Notamacropus eugenii: one gene and its partner. The protein of the gene in region 1 purifies or fractionates together with the protein of each later gene. This does not show direct contact. Links are inferred from orthologs where the notes say so. Each region holds a gene or a part of one and is shown on either strand. Other genes may lie near its edges.

Region 1 (7,485 bases):
TTCAGCTAAAATGGGCTATTAACTATGCCACAAACTTGACATTTCATCTTCCACCCCCATGTGTTTGTACACACATTCCTTTTTGCCTGGAATGTTCCCTCTTTCTCATTTTTGCATCTCCAAATCCTTACCTTCCTTCAAGGCCTCAATAGAGGTCACCTGGATTTTCTTATTTACTACTGCCTTCTCTCCTCTCCTCAAACTAACTTGTAAAAAAAAAAATAACTTTACTTGTGTCTATATTGTATCCTCTTAGGATAGTATAAATTCCTTGCAGGCAAAGGCAGTCAGTTATTCAAAAAGTCAACCAGCAAACATTTATTGAGCATCTATGATAGTCATTGGAAAACAGACCAAATTGAGAGTGCTTGCTCTTGATAAATAAATACAAAGTAATTGGGAGAGACACAAACAACTGGGAAAATGAGGAAAGGCCATGTAAAGGATGTGGCACTGAGATTAACTGCCATCTCTATGCAAATGACTCACAGGCTCTCCCTTGAGCTTGTAGTCCCATATCACTAATCCCCCACAGGAAATTTCAAACTGAATGTCCTGCAGATATCTTCAACTCAACATGTCCAAACTAGAACTCGTTATTCCCCTCCACCATCCCCAGGAAAAAAATCAACCAAAAAACCCAACTCCTCCCCTCTCTCAAACTTCCTTATTTCAGTGGAAATTGCATGCACCAACCTCCCAGTCTCCTCAACTCCTTATTGTCCTTAGGGCCAAGGATCTGATGAGGTTTGAGGAGTGCTGGGGACCCTGAAATACCGACACGCCAGGTCCTGCTCAAATGAATTCGACTCAAGACTTCTTTAAATCAAAGAAAACCAAAGTTTATTAAAGATTCACCACCTTAGGTTGACTCTTTAGGAGCCTAAGATTTATAATACTTGTATTCACAAGCAGTCGAGATAGAATCTCAGCTAGGCAGAGTCTGAGCTGGACTGAATCTGAATGCCTTCATGGAGGCGAGATGGAACTTAAATACAGAAAAAGACTGAGGGAAGAATCCAGGTGTCACCAGGTAATCTCAGGTCCCAGGGGTGGTCTAGATAGATTAAACCCAGAGAGGAGTGTCTGGTAATACGATCAAAGGGAGGCATATCAAAAATGCTAAATAGAAGATAGGGAGTATGTGGCCTGGGAGAAATGGAAGGGGAATCCAAGGAGCCATCCCCCAAAAGCCAGACTTCCCAGCAACTCTTCCGATCCAAGGGAAAAAGGTCTTGGGTTGGGCTTGTACCCCATCAGATCCAATCAGTTAACAAATCTTCATAGTTCTGTTTTCACAATAACTCTCACATTGCCACCCCTTCTCTTGACTCACCCAGCCATCACCCTAATTCAGACTCCCTATTTCTCTTTTGAATATGACCAATTCAGAGACACAAAGGAACACTTGTATGAACTGATGTCTACAGTGAAATAAGCAAAAACAAGAAAATGATATATGTGATGACTACAGTCATGTAAACAAAAATGACACTAAAAATTAGTCAAAATCTGATAAACTGTATCACCAATTTTGGTCTGAGGTTCAGGGACTACTAGAATGGAATGTTTCATGATTGGTTGTTGTGCCAATTTGTTTCGCTGAGTTGTTTTTTTTTTTCTTTGGTGACAAAAGAAGTCAACGGTGGTGGGGAAGTGAACTGAGAAATAATGGTGGTGTAGAACAAAAGGAATCAAAAACTGAAAAAAGAGAGGCCAAGTGTTGCTACATGAGCAAGACAGAACAAAAACTGTGGCATGATATTGAATTTTGTAGTCCAGTTTGGCTGAAGTATATGAACAAATGGCCCCAGATGGCTTAGTGGATAGAATTCGAGGCCTGGAGTCAGGAAGACTTCTTGAGTTCAAATTCTGCCTCAAATACTATGTGACCCAAGCAAGTCAATTAACCCTGCTTTTACCTCAGTTTCCTTATCTGTAAAATGAACTAGAAAAGGAAACCACTCCAGTATCTTTGCCAAGAAAACCCGAAATGGGGTCACAAAAAGTCAGATAGGACTGAAATGACTGAACAAAAAGCCTTCTGCGGTCCCTTCCAGCTATAAAGTTCTATGAATTATTTCTTCACTATGCTGACCAAATACATTATCTGAATCGCCCTCTTGTGGTGACTTGTCTGATGGACATATATAGTTTTATCGTCTTCCTCTGTGAAAAGCTACTTCTGCGGGAAAGCAAAAATGATACAGTATTGGAAATCATTAGGATCCTTATTCGGGGGGTCTGTGAACTTGTCTTTTTTTTTTAAATTTTGATTACTGTATTTTAATATAATTGCTTTTCTTTATATGGCTGTTTTATTGTTTTAATTTAAAATTTAAAAAATTAATTTTTAAATTCTAAACTTAATTTTAAATATTTTTTTATTTTTAACTTAAAATTACAAAATTAGAAAAGAAAAAAACTATTGCCATGTACATAGCTGAGCATAAGAGAGGATTCAATATAAGACAAATTTCCATATAAAATACATATATATGTAAGACCATACTATGCTTATTTTCTTCCATCATCTGTTTTTCTGAAGGTGTATAGCATCTTCCTTCCTAAGTCTAAGTCTCTATGTTTTTCTAAATCAATCAGCTCATCATTTCCTACATCACAGCAATATTCCAACCTGTTTACATCCTATCCGAGGGATTGTCTATGAAAGTTTTTTCCTGATTTTCTGCATTCTTGGCTACATAGGTTTTATTTATAGAAGAAAATTTCAACTTAAAATAATTGAAATTATCTTTTTGACACTTCAACAATGCTCTCACCTTACACTTTAAGGTTTGATACTACCAAATCTACTTCCTTTACATCTTTTTCCCCCAGGTTTCCTTAAAGTTTCTGACCTTTTGTTCTTCCAAATGAACTTTGTTATATTTTTTTAACTCAATAATTTTTTTTTAGTAATTTAGTTGGGATGGCACTGAATACGGAGATTAGTTAGGTAAAACTGTCATTCTAAAAATTATATTGGCTTTACTTACCCATGAACAATAAATATTACTTCAATTATTTAGATCTGCATTTATTTCTATAAAAAGCATTTTATATTTATGTTCATATAGTTGTGGTGTCTATTTTGGCAGGAATACACTCAGGTATTTTATATAATCTAGGTATTTTAAATGGTCACTCTAAAACTATTGAATAATATTGCTGACACAGAGTATTTTTCACTTTTGATTAAATCTATTTTAACTTTAACTTTGAGATGATTACTATTCCTGCTTTTTTTACACATTAAATTCTACTCTTGCCTTTTATTTTATCTTTGTGTCTATCTCTCACTTTTATAAAGTTTCCTGAAAGCAACTTATTGCTGAATTCAGATTTTTAATTGTTGTCCTTTCAGTTTTATGGGTAAATTAGTCCCCTTCACATTCTGAGTTACAATTACTTGTTATGCAGCCATGGTTTTAAAGGACAGTGAGCAAAGTGTTCTCTTTGAGTGTAATTTATGGGCTTTATAAAGCCAGGGAATCTGGCTTTATCTGTTTGTATTTGAGAAGAAAGAAAAAGGCAGCATAGCAGATCACAGAGTCCAGGACCAGAAGTCAGGACATTCGTGACCAATCACAATTTGGCTGCTCAGTTGCTTTGTGACCTTAGATAAATCACTTTCCCTTTCTGATCCTCCTGGTAAAGGAGAATTTTGGGAAGTGTCTTTGAAAGTGTCAGGGAAGTGCCAAGACTCCCAGCTGGGGAAAGTGAAATGTGAGTTTTCGTTTTGGGGGGAATGTATCTGTGAATACATTAGTGCTCCCTCCTGTTAGCACAGATTGCCACTAAAGTCAGACATGAAAGAGTGTTGCAAAATAGGTAAAATTACGCCACTCTTCAATCTTTTTTGAAAAGTTATTTTTCATAAAAATGTTTATGTTACTTCGAATGTTTACTGTTGTTTTAATTGAATTAATAAAGATTTTAAGTTTGTTAGTTTTAATTTCAAACGTAAAAAATCTATATTAAATATGCAAACATACAAAAATTAAATACGTAGCGAAGGCTGTGTCCCACTAAAAGAAATCCTTTGGGGTCCTCAACAGTTTTGAAGCTGGTAAAGACCAAAAAGTTTGAAAGCTGCGGCACCCATCAGGAGGCCTACTTCTCTAGTTATCATTATAACGAATATTATTACTCGTACGTTTAAACGATGTAGCTTATACACATTTGCCGCATATTTTCAGCATCTTTTTAATGGCATAGAATCTTTATAGCTTCCCTACATAGCAGGGCCACTTCTCGACTTCATTTCCCAGCCTTTACCGCGCGACCGGAAACGGAACTTTCGTAAGCGCCAATTGGCTCCCAGCACTACCACTTCCTCCGAACGACTGGAAGGTACCCGCGGACAAAGGAGCGCAGGGAAGGAGGCGGGGCTCAGCGGCTACGCACCCGTGGAAGCAACGGAGTCTGCGCGTGTCCTCCTCTGCGCATGAGCTTCCTGATCTGCACTCTGATTGGCTGAAAGAGCTCGACCGTTCCTATTTGAATCTCGGCGGCTCGGGGGAGGAGCTGTCTAAGCATAGTCGCCGCCGTTGCTTGGGGCTCTCAGACTTGCTGCTTCTCTGCGCCCCGGCGCTTCTCCGTCCCTCTCTCGGGAGCCCTTCTCCTTCCTCGTCCGCGCTCGCGACCTGCGGGCCATAGCCTGGCAGGTAGGAACGTCGTGCCTCCCTGGCCCTGCCCTTCTCCGTGCGAGTGGAAGGCTGTCTGAGGCGGCGAGGCCTCTCTGGAGGGCGGGCGAGTCCGGGTCTCTGCGAGCTGCGGGGAGCGGTGGGGGTGGGGAGAGGAGGAAAGGCCCCAGGATCCATCCGGGCCAACCCTGGTGTCGGCGAGACCCGAGTTCAAGTCCTGTTTCTAGCACTAAGGAGCTGGGAGCCCCGGGCACGTGTCTTAACCTCTCGGAGCCGAGGTTTCCCTGTTTTGAGGCTGAATGCACCGGGTCTCAGACACTTACTGGCGGGGTGACCTTGGGCAAGTCACTCCCCCTCCGCTCGCCCTGGTTGTCTTATGTATAAAATAGGAAGGACCACAAATGGCAATTGTAAAGCGCTTGTCTCTGTGCCTGGAACCCAGTAGGTGCTTAGTAAACCCTGATTCCCCGCACCCCCTACCCCCAGTCCATAAAAGGGATAGTAATTGTACCTACTTCTCCCTAGGTTTTTGTGAGGCTCAGTAAAGGACTCGGCAATTCTTAGAGCTCTATATAAACGCCAGTTATTAGTTATTGTTCTTATTCTAGAAAAAATATTGTAGAAAAGATATTCTAAAAAAAATTCTAGAAAAAAATTCTGCGGAGTTAAAATATGAACAGGCCAGGGCTTTTTTTGTTTGTTTGTTTTTCTGGCTCTCCTTCTCTTACTGTTCTAATGCCCTCTGAACTGTTCACAGGTGGATACAATTACTGCCTTTTGTATTTGAATAAAAGTGTTAGGTTGTCAAGTTATTTTGTGTGAACTCCAGGAGAAAGACTTCAGCACAACAGGATGATGGGAATTTCATCCTATTTTCACCTGATTTTGATCTCCTTTACTAGGACTGTTTTGGAAGGCTCTTTTCTGGGAGTGATTAGGGAAGGAGAGTGGGAATACACTCATTTGGAGAGTGATTCCTGATGTTTGTTTCCTTTTCTGTCAACTGACATTTATTAACCACCAGTTTACTATGTGCCAGACACTGGGCTAAGCTCTGGGGATGCTTAGAAAAATAAACAAACAAAAAAACTGTCCTGTGTTCTCCAGGAACTCACAGTATAATGGAAAGAAGTCATACAAACACGATGTAATCAGGATAAGTTGGGAGCAGTCTCAGAGGAAAGACACGAGAATTAAGAAGTGTTGGGAAAGTCTTCTTGCAGAAGGTGGGTGGGTCCTTAACCAAGGTTTAAAGGGAAGCTAGGGAGGGCAGGAGGGTGAAGATGCAGAGAAAGAGCATTCTAGGCATGGGGGCCGTACTGGAAATGCTGGGGAAATGCAGTACTCTGTGCCAGAAGTAGCAGGAAAAAAAATTTTTTTTTTCTTCAGTCAGAACCAGCTTTTACTGGTTCTGTGCTCTATTTTGCCTAGATTTCTGTTAACCTGGTAATAACAATATCTATATCCAAGATGACTTTAGGAACCCAAGCTTCACACTGAGTTGGGGGGCTCAGGATATTTGGGTGTACACTTAACAGAAGATTTGCTTTCATGAGCATGAACTCACATCTTTGAGGGCATAGTGCTGGTTGCCCCAGGGGCGATCTTCCTCACAGGCATGATGTATGTTAAGGTGCTTTGGGAATTAGAAATATTTGGTTTCAGATCCATCCTCTGATACTTCCTAGCTTGTGTGACTGTGGGCAAATCATTTACCTTTTTTCCCGCCTCAGTTTCTCATCTGTAAAATGGGAATAATAGTAGCATCCACATCCAGGGTGTGGGGATCCAATAAGATATTTGTAGAGAGCTTAGCACAGTGCTTGGCATATAGTAGATGCTGTGTAAATGTTACTATTATTATACATGGTTAGTTATTGTTACCTTCTCCTAGGTGGAAGATCGATAGGCACCTGAGATGAGTAAAGATAAGGTAATTTGTGAAGCCAAAGAGCCACTAGCACCTTGGGCTAGCAGGGAAGGCTTCCCAGAGCAGGTAGCACTTGAGCTGATTATTGAAGGAAGGTCAAAATTCTGAGAGGCAGAGTTGAAGGGAGTGCATTCTAGGCATGGGCAATTGGTTTGTTGAGTTTTGTGGATAGTTACTGGTTCAATTTGGTTGGAAATTCAAAAGGGAAATAACATGGGGAAAAAAAGACTGGAAAGTTAAGTTGGAGTCAGATTATAGGGGGCTTTAAATGAAGTAGCATGTGTTTCATACTAGAGGCAGTAGGAAGTCATTAGAAATTTTGAGCAGGAAAGGGACATGATTAGATCTGTCTTAGTAAGATGATTTTTGCATCTGCATAGAGCATGAATTGGAGAGAGAAGAACCTGGAAGCAGGAAGACCAATTAGGAGGTTGGTCCAGGTGAGTGTAATAAAAGCTTCAACTAGAGAGAAAGATTGATGCAAAAGATGTTTTAAAGGTCGAATCAGTAAGTTTTGGATAAAATGATTGATTTTTAAAAATTCAAATAATTCACATCCTGGCTCTGCCACTTAATTTGTGTGACCATGAACAAATTGCTTCCTTTCTTTATAATCTCCAGTGCTTTAAAGTTTGCAGGATATTTTTCTCACAACAATCTTGTTAGCTAAGTAGGGCAAGGATATTATCCTCATTTTACAGAGGAGGAAACTGAGGCTTTGAGAGGTTGTGTTTGTCTGTAAGTATTGATAATATTTAATATCATTTTTGGACTTTAATAAGGGCCAGAGCTTGAAGAAGAGCCTGGACCTAACAGTCTCTTTGTTCTCTGAAGTAAACGCAGAGAATACCTCTTCCTATGTCAACAAGGGCAGATGGGGCTGACTTAGCATACTTTGAGACCCTG
Region 2 (7,227 bases), about 53 Mb from region 1:
ATGGATGTAAAAACTAACAAAGGCTTTCCTGATTTCACAACAGGTATTGTTCTTTGTTTAAGGTCAGCATGTTTCTCACTGTTGGGGGCTTGTTAGATGGGCTCACTTCTATACCTAGTGTCTGCCAAACTGCTTTCCAATTTTCCCAGCAATTTTTGTCACAAAAGCTTGGATTTGGGGCATTTATCAAACACTAGATTACAATGGTCATTTACTACTGTGTATTGTATACCTGATCTATTCCACTGATCCACCCTTCTATTTCTTTTTTTTTTCCTGTGATGAAACAGCTTTATTTTAAAAATACATAGAAAGATTCTTTCTTTAATATTGATTAAAATGCTTTTGAATTTCAAATCCCCTTATGAAATGTTAGCAGCAGTTGTCAAGGAAAGGATGGATGTGTACTTTTTTAGTGATGGCATAGAAGTAATTCCTATTCAAGTGTAAGTTGGATTTCATGGCCCCTGATAGTCATTCAAACTCTTAAAATCTGTATAAATTGAGTATCTTTGTGTCTTAAAATAATTGCAAAACTGCTGGTTGCCAAGGGGACAAGTGTATTCAAATTTCCATTGACAGGGGAACCAGATAAGGAAACTAGGGAGAAATGGAGATAAAGAGAAAGGAGAATTCTCATTCTCTTTTCAGAAAAGGATATTTCTTCTCTCCCCCCACCCCACTTAATAATATTTTATTTTTTTCCAATTACATGTAAAGAGTGTTTTCAACATTCAATTTTGTAAGATTTTGAGCTCCAAATTTTTTCTCCCTCCATTCCCACCCCTCTCCCCAAGACATCAAAAAATCTGATCTTCACTCTTTATGTCTAAATCCTGTTCTCATTTTGACCTTATCTTAGTATGCAGTGTAAGTTGTTGGTCTATGCATAGTTTCTGCCATATTATTTTCCAGTTTTCCCAGTGGTTTTTGTCAAATAGTGAGTTCTTATCCCAGAAACTGGGTTTAACAAACAGTAGATTACCATAGTCATTGACTGTTATGTCTTATATACCTAACCTATTCCACTCATCTACCCCTCTGTTTCTTAGCTAGTACCAGACTGTTTTGATAATTACTGCTTTGTAATACAGCTTGAGATCTGGTACTGCTAGGTACTTCCTTCACATTTTTATTCATTGATTCTCTTGATATTCTTGACCTTGTTTTTCCAGATGAATTTTGTTATTATTTTGTGTATCTCTATAAAATGCTTTTTGGTAGTTTGGTATGGCACTGAATAAATAAATTCATCAATTAACTTTTACAAAAGGGAATTTATTAAGAAAGGATAGTAGAACACAAGTTATAAAATATCCCCTTTAAACAGGAGACAAACTCTCTCCCCTCTGCACATACTGGTTCCTGGGGAGAGTGGGCTCAAACTTTAAATAATTATGTTAGTGCGGCATGTTAGCAAATCTCAGTAGAGAATAAACCCCAAAACCTGAAATAGGTTTTGGATTTTATTAGGTCATTTAGAAAAGGAGAGGGCTGGGAAAAGGTGTGGCTCCTTCCTCATTTCTTTGCGACTTTACTGAGAGTTCAGACTAGACTGACTGGCCACACTAGATAATGCAATTGTCAGAACTAAGTAGCTTGAGATATATATATCAGCAGGTAAGTATAAACATTCAAATCTGGAAAATTCAAAACAAGTTTAGTGGACCCAAACAAGACTTGGGTGGGATCTAAGCATTCCCTTCAGCCATCCATCTTCCTTGGAGGGGCTCTGACCTCTACAGTAATTTTGGATTACACAATTTTCTAGCCACATAAAGCTAGGTTCAAACAAAATTAATAAATAATAATCTATATTTTCCTCACAGACACGTGTAAAGAACATGTAGGATCAAGAAGCATCTCAAGACTTCTAGCCCTGGGAGTCCTTTTCTCTCTATAAGGAGTCCCCACCAAATCTGCTTGGGATGGGGCAGCAGCTGTACTTACCCTTGGTGCTGAGATTGGCTGCTTCCCTGGGCTCAGCTGCTGTGACTAGCCTCAGGGGTTTTTTTTGCTATCTATTCTGGCTGCTGAGGGTGATCTGGGATAGTCCTTCCAACCTTTCAAAGCTCACAAGGGTGTCATCTATTCAATTCTGTTTATCTTTCATTTCCCTAAGATTAGGAAAGGAGAAACAGAAGGTCCATGTCAAGAATTCAGGGATAGATTAGGAGGGAGGGCATGCTACTTCTCCTTGATCTTGGAAGTCCTCCACATTCAAAGATGCCAGGGAAGAGAGGTACAGGTCATCAGCTCAAACTTTTTTTTTTTTTTTGCACATTCAGTTCTGGTTCAGGAATCAATTAAAAGATTTTTCATCATTGTGATGCTGGGATGGGAAAGAGGGTGAAGGTTCTTTTTTTCCCATTAGGTATGTTTCCTTGTGTTGGAATGGAAATCAGGAAGTTCATTGTGCATGAACTAAGGAGGTGACACACTCATTACTACCTACCTTTGCCTTAAGATATTTCTCCACAGTCAGCATGAGGTCAGGGGCAGAGATCTCGGACAAATCCTGATCTATGTCCTTTGTGAGAAGGGGCCTTGTGGGCTGCAGAGTATACTAGAATAAGTAAAGGCACTAGAGGTTAGTGGAGTTATTTCAGCAGAGTTTCAAATGGAAAAGTTAAGGACACAGAGGAATTAACATGCAAAGGCTTCGCTGCAGAAAAAAAGTATATTTACCTGCCTGGAAAATCCAAACCCATTTGAAATAGGATTTGATCATAGTTTGTTAAGTGGGTGAGGATAGTGGAGTAGCTGATTCAATTGCCAGGAAACACCCACTGTTAGGCAGCTTAGATTTCATCTCCAATTGGAATGACAGAATCAAAACACTAAAAAAGTTTAAGAAAATCCCAGCTGTCTCTAATACAAGTCTAGGCTAGTAACAAATTTGCATAGTGGATAAATAACAAAGTATCCTTAACTACAGTGCAGTTTAGAAATGAGACTCTTAACTTCCAAAATACTTTTCATCAGTTTAGTAACAACTTGTGTATCATATTGACGTTTAATTTTCATAAAGATATATATATATATTTTATATGTAAGTGCAGCCTAAGCAATGGTACAAACAACAGGGACTTCTATGTTAGAGAAAGGGAAAGTGAACATGACCCGCAATATAATAAGTAGGGCAAACGTGGGTCGGGTGGTGCCAGGCATTGAAGCAACAAAGCTGAGGGTGGGGACGTTATTGCAACGGGAGAGTTTGTCCACTGGGTACAGTGTTTGGGCGTGGAATCCAGCCTATAAGAATAGGTTCTTTCAAAAAGGACCTTATTTCAACAAATAGCTAGAAAAAATAAAAGAGGGTTTGAAGGGGATTTTCTTTGATCATTTCCTCATTTCCTAAGCTCGAGACTTTCCAGGGATCACATTAGATAAGAATTTTGGGAATGGATGGGCCAATGATTCTACATGATCGTTTTTAAAACTTGTAAATGTTTTTTTGAATTAAAAATTCTTTTTTCTCACTTAGAAATCTATTTTTTTCTCCCCTGAGTTAAGGAAAAAAAAACCCGTATCACAAATGTGCATAGGCAAGCAAAACAAATTCCAATACAAGTCCAGTATAAAGTGTGCGCTTTTCTGCACCCCGAGTCCGACACGTCCCTATCAGGAGGTGGGGAGCATGCTCCCCTATCACCGCTTTGGAATCTTGGTTGGTCATTGCCCCGATCAGTGTCTAAGTCTTTCAAAGTTGTTTGTCTTTATAACGTGGTTGTTGCACGATCGTTCTGGTTCTACATACAGATGTTTCAAGGCTTCCTTCAATCACATCCCGCTCTTTTTCATAGAAGGGAAACTGAGGTCACCCTTTGGAGTCGGGGGTCTTGGCAGGCCACCACGCCAGCTCAGTCACAATGGGAGGTGCCCTCTTGCCTCGGCTCCGCCCCCAGAGGTCTGGCAGATCGAGTTGAGGCGGTTCTTCCAGCGATTTCGCACCTGGTGGGGCGCATCTGCCAGGTGACTCCACGCAGCGCGGCGCCGGCCAGATCCACCTACACTGGATTGGCCAGGACCCCACCCCCAGCCCCTGCAGCGTGGCCCCGCCTCCCTTCGGGTCCAGGCCCCGCCCCCCGCCCCTGTCGGCCCCTCCCCCCAGCTGGGCGGGTGAGAGAGAACTCGGTGCGTGCGTGCGCGTCGCCCCATCCGGGTCGACGGGCCTGGCAGCCCCGCCCTCAGCCCTGGCTGAGCTGCATTTGGGCAACTGCTGAGGGCGGCCGGCGGCCACGTCCGAGAGCGTGCTGAAGTCACCGACGGGGCCGAGGGGGCGGAGGAACGGATGGAAGATGGCTGCGGGGGCCGGATGTTGGCGCCGCCTCCCCCAAGTCCTGAGCCGGCGCAGATGAGGCGGCTCGGTCGGGGCCAGCGGCGCTTCGGAACCCGAGCTGGGGCGACCCTGGCGGCGGTGCCCGCCCCTGCTATGTGCCGGCGCCTCGGGTAGAGCGCGGAAGAGCGGCGGCGGGGCCGGGGCCGGGACGGCGACGCGGCAGGCCTCCTGCTCCTTCCTCCCGTCGGCGGCTGGTGTCTGAGGAGGGCGGCGGCGGCGGGGGCCGCGGGGCCGGCATGGAGGACGTTAACTCCAACGTGAACGCGGACCAGGAGGTGCGGAAGCTGCAGGAGCTGGTGAAGAAGCTGGAGAAGCAGAACGAGCAGCTGAGGAGCCGCTCGGGGGCCGCGCAGGCAGCCGCCCCCGCCGCGCAGGGCAGCCCCGGCCGCGGCTCCGCCGCCGCCTCCGGGACCGCGTCTCCCCGAGGCTTCCCGCTGGGCCTGAGCTCCAAGGCGGCGGCGGCGGCGACCGGGGCCGGGCCGGGCCTGAGGCGGACGAGCAGCGAGGAGCTGCGGGACGGGAGCGCGTCCCTGCTGGCGGCCGGCGAGGGCAGCGTGCTGGACGAGGTGGAGCCGCTGCGGCCTGACGAGCTGGAGCGCCTCTTGGGCTGGGAGGAGGAGGAGAGCTGGTGAGCCGGGGCGCTCGTGGGGCGGGGCGGGGGCTGTGCAACCGACTGCCCCCGGGCCCAGGCCGGGCTTTGTCTCGGGAGACCTCCCTCGCTTTTCTTTTCTGGAGACTGGCCTGGGGGCAAGGGTCGCCTGAGCCAAAAGATGAGAAGAAAAGCACACGTCTGCTGGGAGGGGCGCGGGTGGAGACCTGGACTGAGTTGTTGGCACTAGCACTGGCGGTGCTGCAACGGGGGCAGAGTAGGCAGGGTCCCCGCTTTGTGTGGCTCGAGGAGGGCGGCCTGGGAATTAGGGTGTCGGCGAAGGAACTTGGGGAGGGGCGTGCTCGATGAGAAGTCACTGAACTTGGCTCTTGGGGACAAGCTGGACCCTCTCTCCTTTTGGTGCGAAAGGGTCCGAGTCCGCGTGGAAAGCGTGAGACTTTGGCATGACTGGTGTGGGTGGCCAGAAAGGGAGGAAGATGGTGTGAAACTGGACCCCCCTTTGGGGACCCCGAGCTTCGCTTCGCTTTATGTGATGGGGGCAGAGGACGGGGCTGCTTTGTGCAGAGAACCAAAGACGGGCCTCCCTCGTATCTTTTGGCTACTCATTTGTTTGCTCCTTCCGTGTTTATTCAAGAATTGGGGTAGTTCTCAAGGTTGTGAAGAGTTACCACCTTTACTCGTCACTTTCATATTATTCTAGGGCAGGTAAGAGAGGCTTGTTGAAGCTTCCTGTCCCTCGAGGAAAGCAATGACCCACACCTTAAAAATCACTTCCATCCCTCGTAAACGCTTGAAAGAATCTCTTCTGGGCGTTAGGGGAACTTTTATTCATGAATTCATCATTTCAGGACTTACTCTTTTTAACATTGAAATGTTTTCTCCTTTTTGGTTAAAATAGAGGTTTCAGAATTAGTGCAATCTTTGACAGAATTAGGCAGCGTCTGTTGGCAGATTTCGGTATTGAGCATCTATTTACTGAGCTAGGTCATAGATTTAGAGCTGGAAGGAACCTTGGAATCCAGCGCCTTTTTTTTACCGATGAGCAAACTGAAGAGGACAGAAGTAAAATGACTTCTGCAGTTATACAGCGAAGTAAGGGTCTAAGGCAAAATTGAGCCTAAGTCTACCTGACTTCCAAATCTGTTCCCTGTCCTCCACAGCATGCTACCTTCTCCTGTGTGGGGTAAAAGAGAAGCGTTAGACATCGCCCCAACTTTTATTCCTGTTGAGTAAAAGAAACAAGCCCCGTAAAATAATACTGAAAAGTCTCAATAGCTTAAATGATAAGAGTTCCTTAAGATTTAGGATTAAAGGAGTTAAAGTTGGAAGGAATATTAGAGGTCACTTAGCCCAACACCCCCATCCTCTTTTTCATGTTAGGAAACTTGCCCCAGAGAGGTATGGTGTCTTGCTCCAAGTTTATTGTACAGTTAGTAAGTGGTGAAGAACAATTTGTCCACAATAAAATAATTCTGTGAGGTAGGTAGTACAAGTACTACTGCTATCTTTATTTTACAGATAAGGAACACTCAGGTGAAGAAGGGAAGGACTTGCCCAAAATCTTATGTGTAGTAACTCTAGCTTTCTTTCTGCTGAATACAGCACACTAACACACTTCCTCAAATAGATTTTTAAGGGCCTTAAAAACAGGACACCCACCCCTCTCTTTTTGTATTTGTATCCTTTATCTTTCCCAGTGCCCATGCACACAAGTTAGGAATTAGACTGCAGTCCAGCACCTACTATGCAACTTAATGGTCCTAGAGAGCTCTTTAAAATTCTGAGAGGCTAAGTGACATGTTCAGACTCTTACAGCTGGACACAAGGATAGAGGCAGAACTTGAACCCAAGTCTTTCTGGTTTTGAGGCCAGCACTGTTCATCATGCCATGCTGAATATAAATGTTGAACTGAATTGAAAAAACAATGCATAGCACATATAATAAACACTACAGGTAGGAGCTCCAGGATTCACAAACCCCAAGGCACATGGGTAAATTTCAGGGAGTTCTCTGAACTTAGATGGGGAAGAAATTACATATTTGTTTTCATAAACTTTTGGTCTCCTAGCTGGAAAGCAGTTAACTGACAGAGTGTAGAGTGCCAGGCCTGGAAGACTTGAGAGCAGATCCAGCCTTGGACACTAGCCCTGTGATGTTGGGCAAGTCACTTAATCTCTGTTTGCCTCAGTTCCTTCAATTTTAAATGGGTAATACTGGTACCTACTTCCCAAGGTTATTGTGAAGATTAAATAAAATAATAATTTGTAAAGTGCT

What was found. The genes of interacting proteins can lie anywhere in the genome.
Region 2: the proteins of TACC3 (region 1) and SLAIN2 purify together in Homo sapiens (co-immunoprecipitation; 3 studies listed by BioGRID and IntAct, counting the BioPlex papers as one, with this or other methods). This does not show direct contact. The link is inferred for Notamacropus eugenii from reciprocal best matches to the Homo sapiens genes TACC3 and SLAIN2.

Annotation. Positions count from the first base shown.
Region 1 is NC_092877.1:50,059,013-50,066,497, forward strand, and holds the start of TACC3 (transforming acidic coiled-coil-containing protein 3), read left to right. Parts: upstream 1-4,423; 5' UTR 4,424-4,670; intron 4,671-6,959; exon of another isoform or gene 6,960-7,019; intron 7,020-7,485. UniProt on the Homo sapiens protein: Plays a role in the microtubule-dependent coupling of the nucleus and the centrosome. Involved in the processes that regulate centrosome-mediated interkinetic nuclear migration (INM) of neural progenitors.
Region 2 is NC_092877.1:102,737,785-102,745,011, forward strand, and holds the start of SLAIN2 (SLAIN motif-containing protein 2), read left to right. Parts: upstream 1-4,190; 5' UTR 4,191-4,578; coding exon 4,579-4,970; intron 4,971-7,227.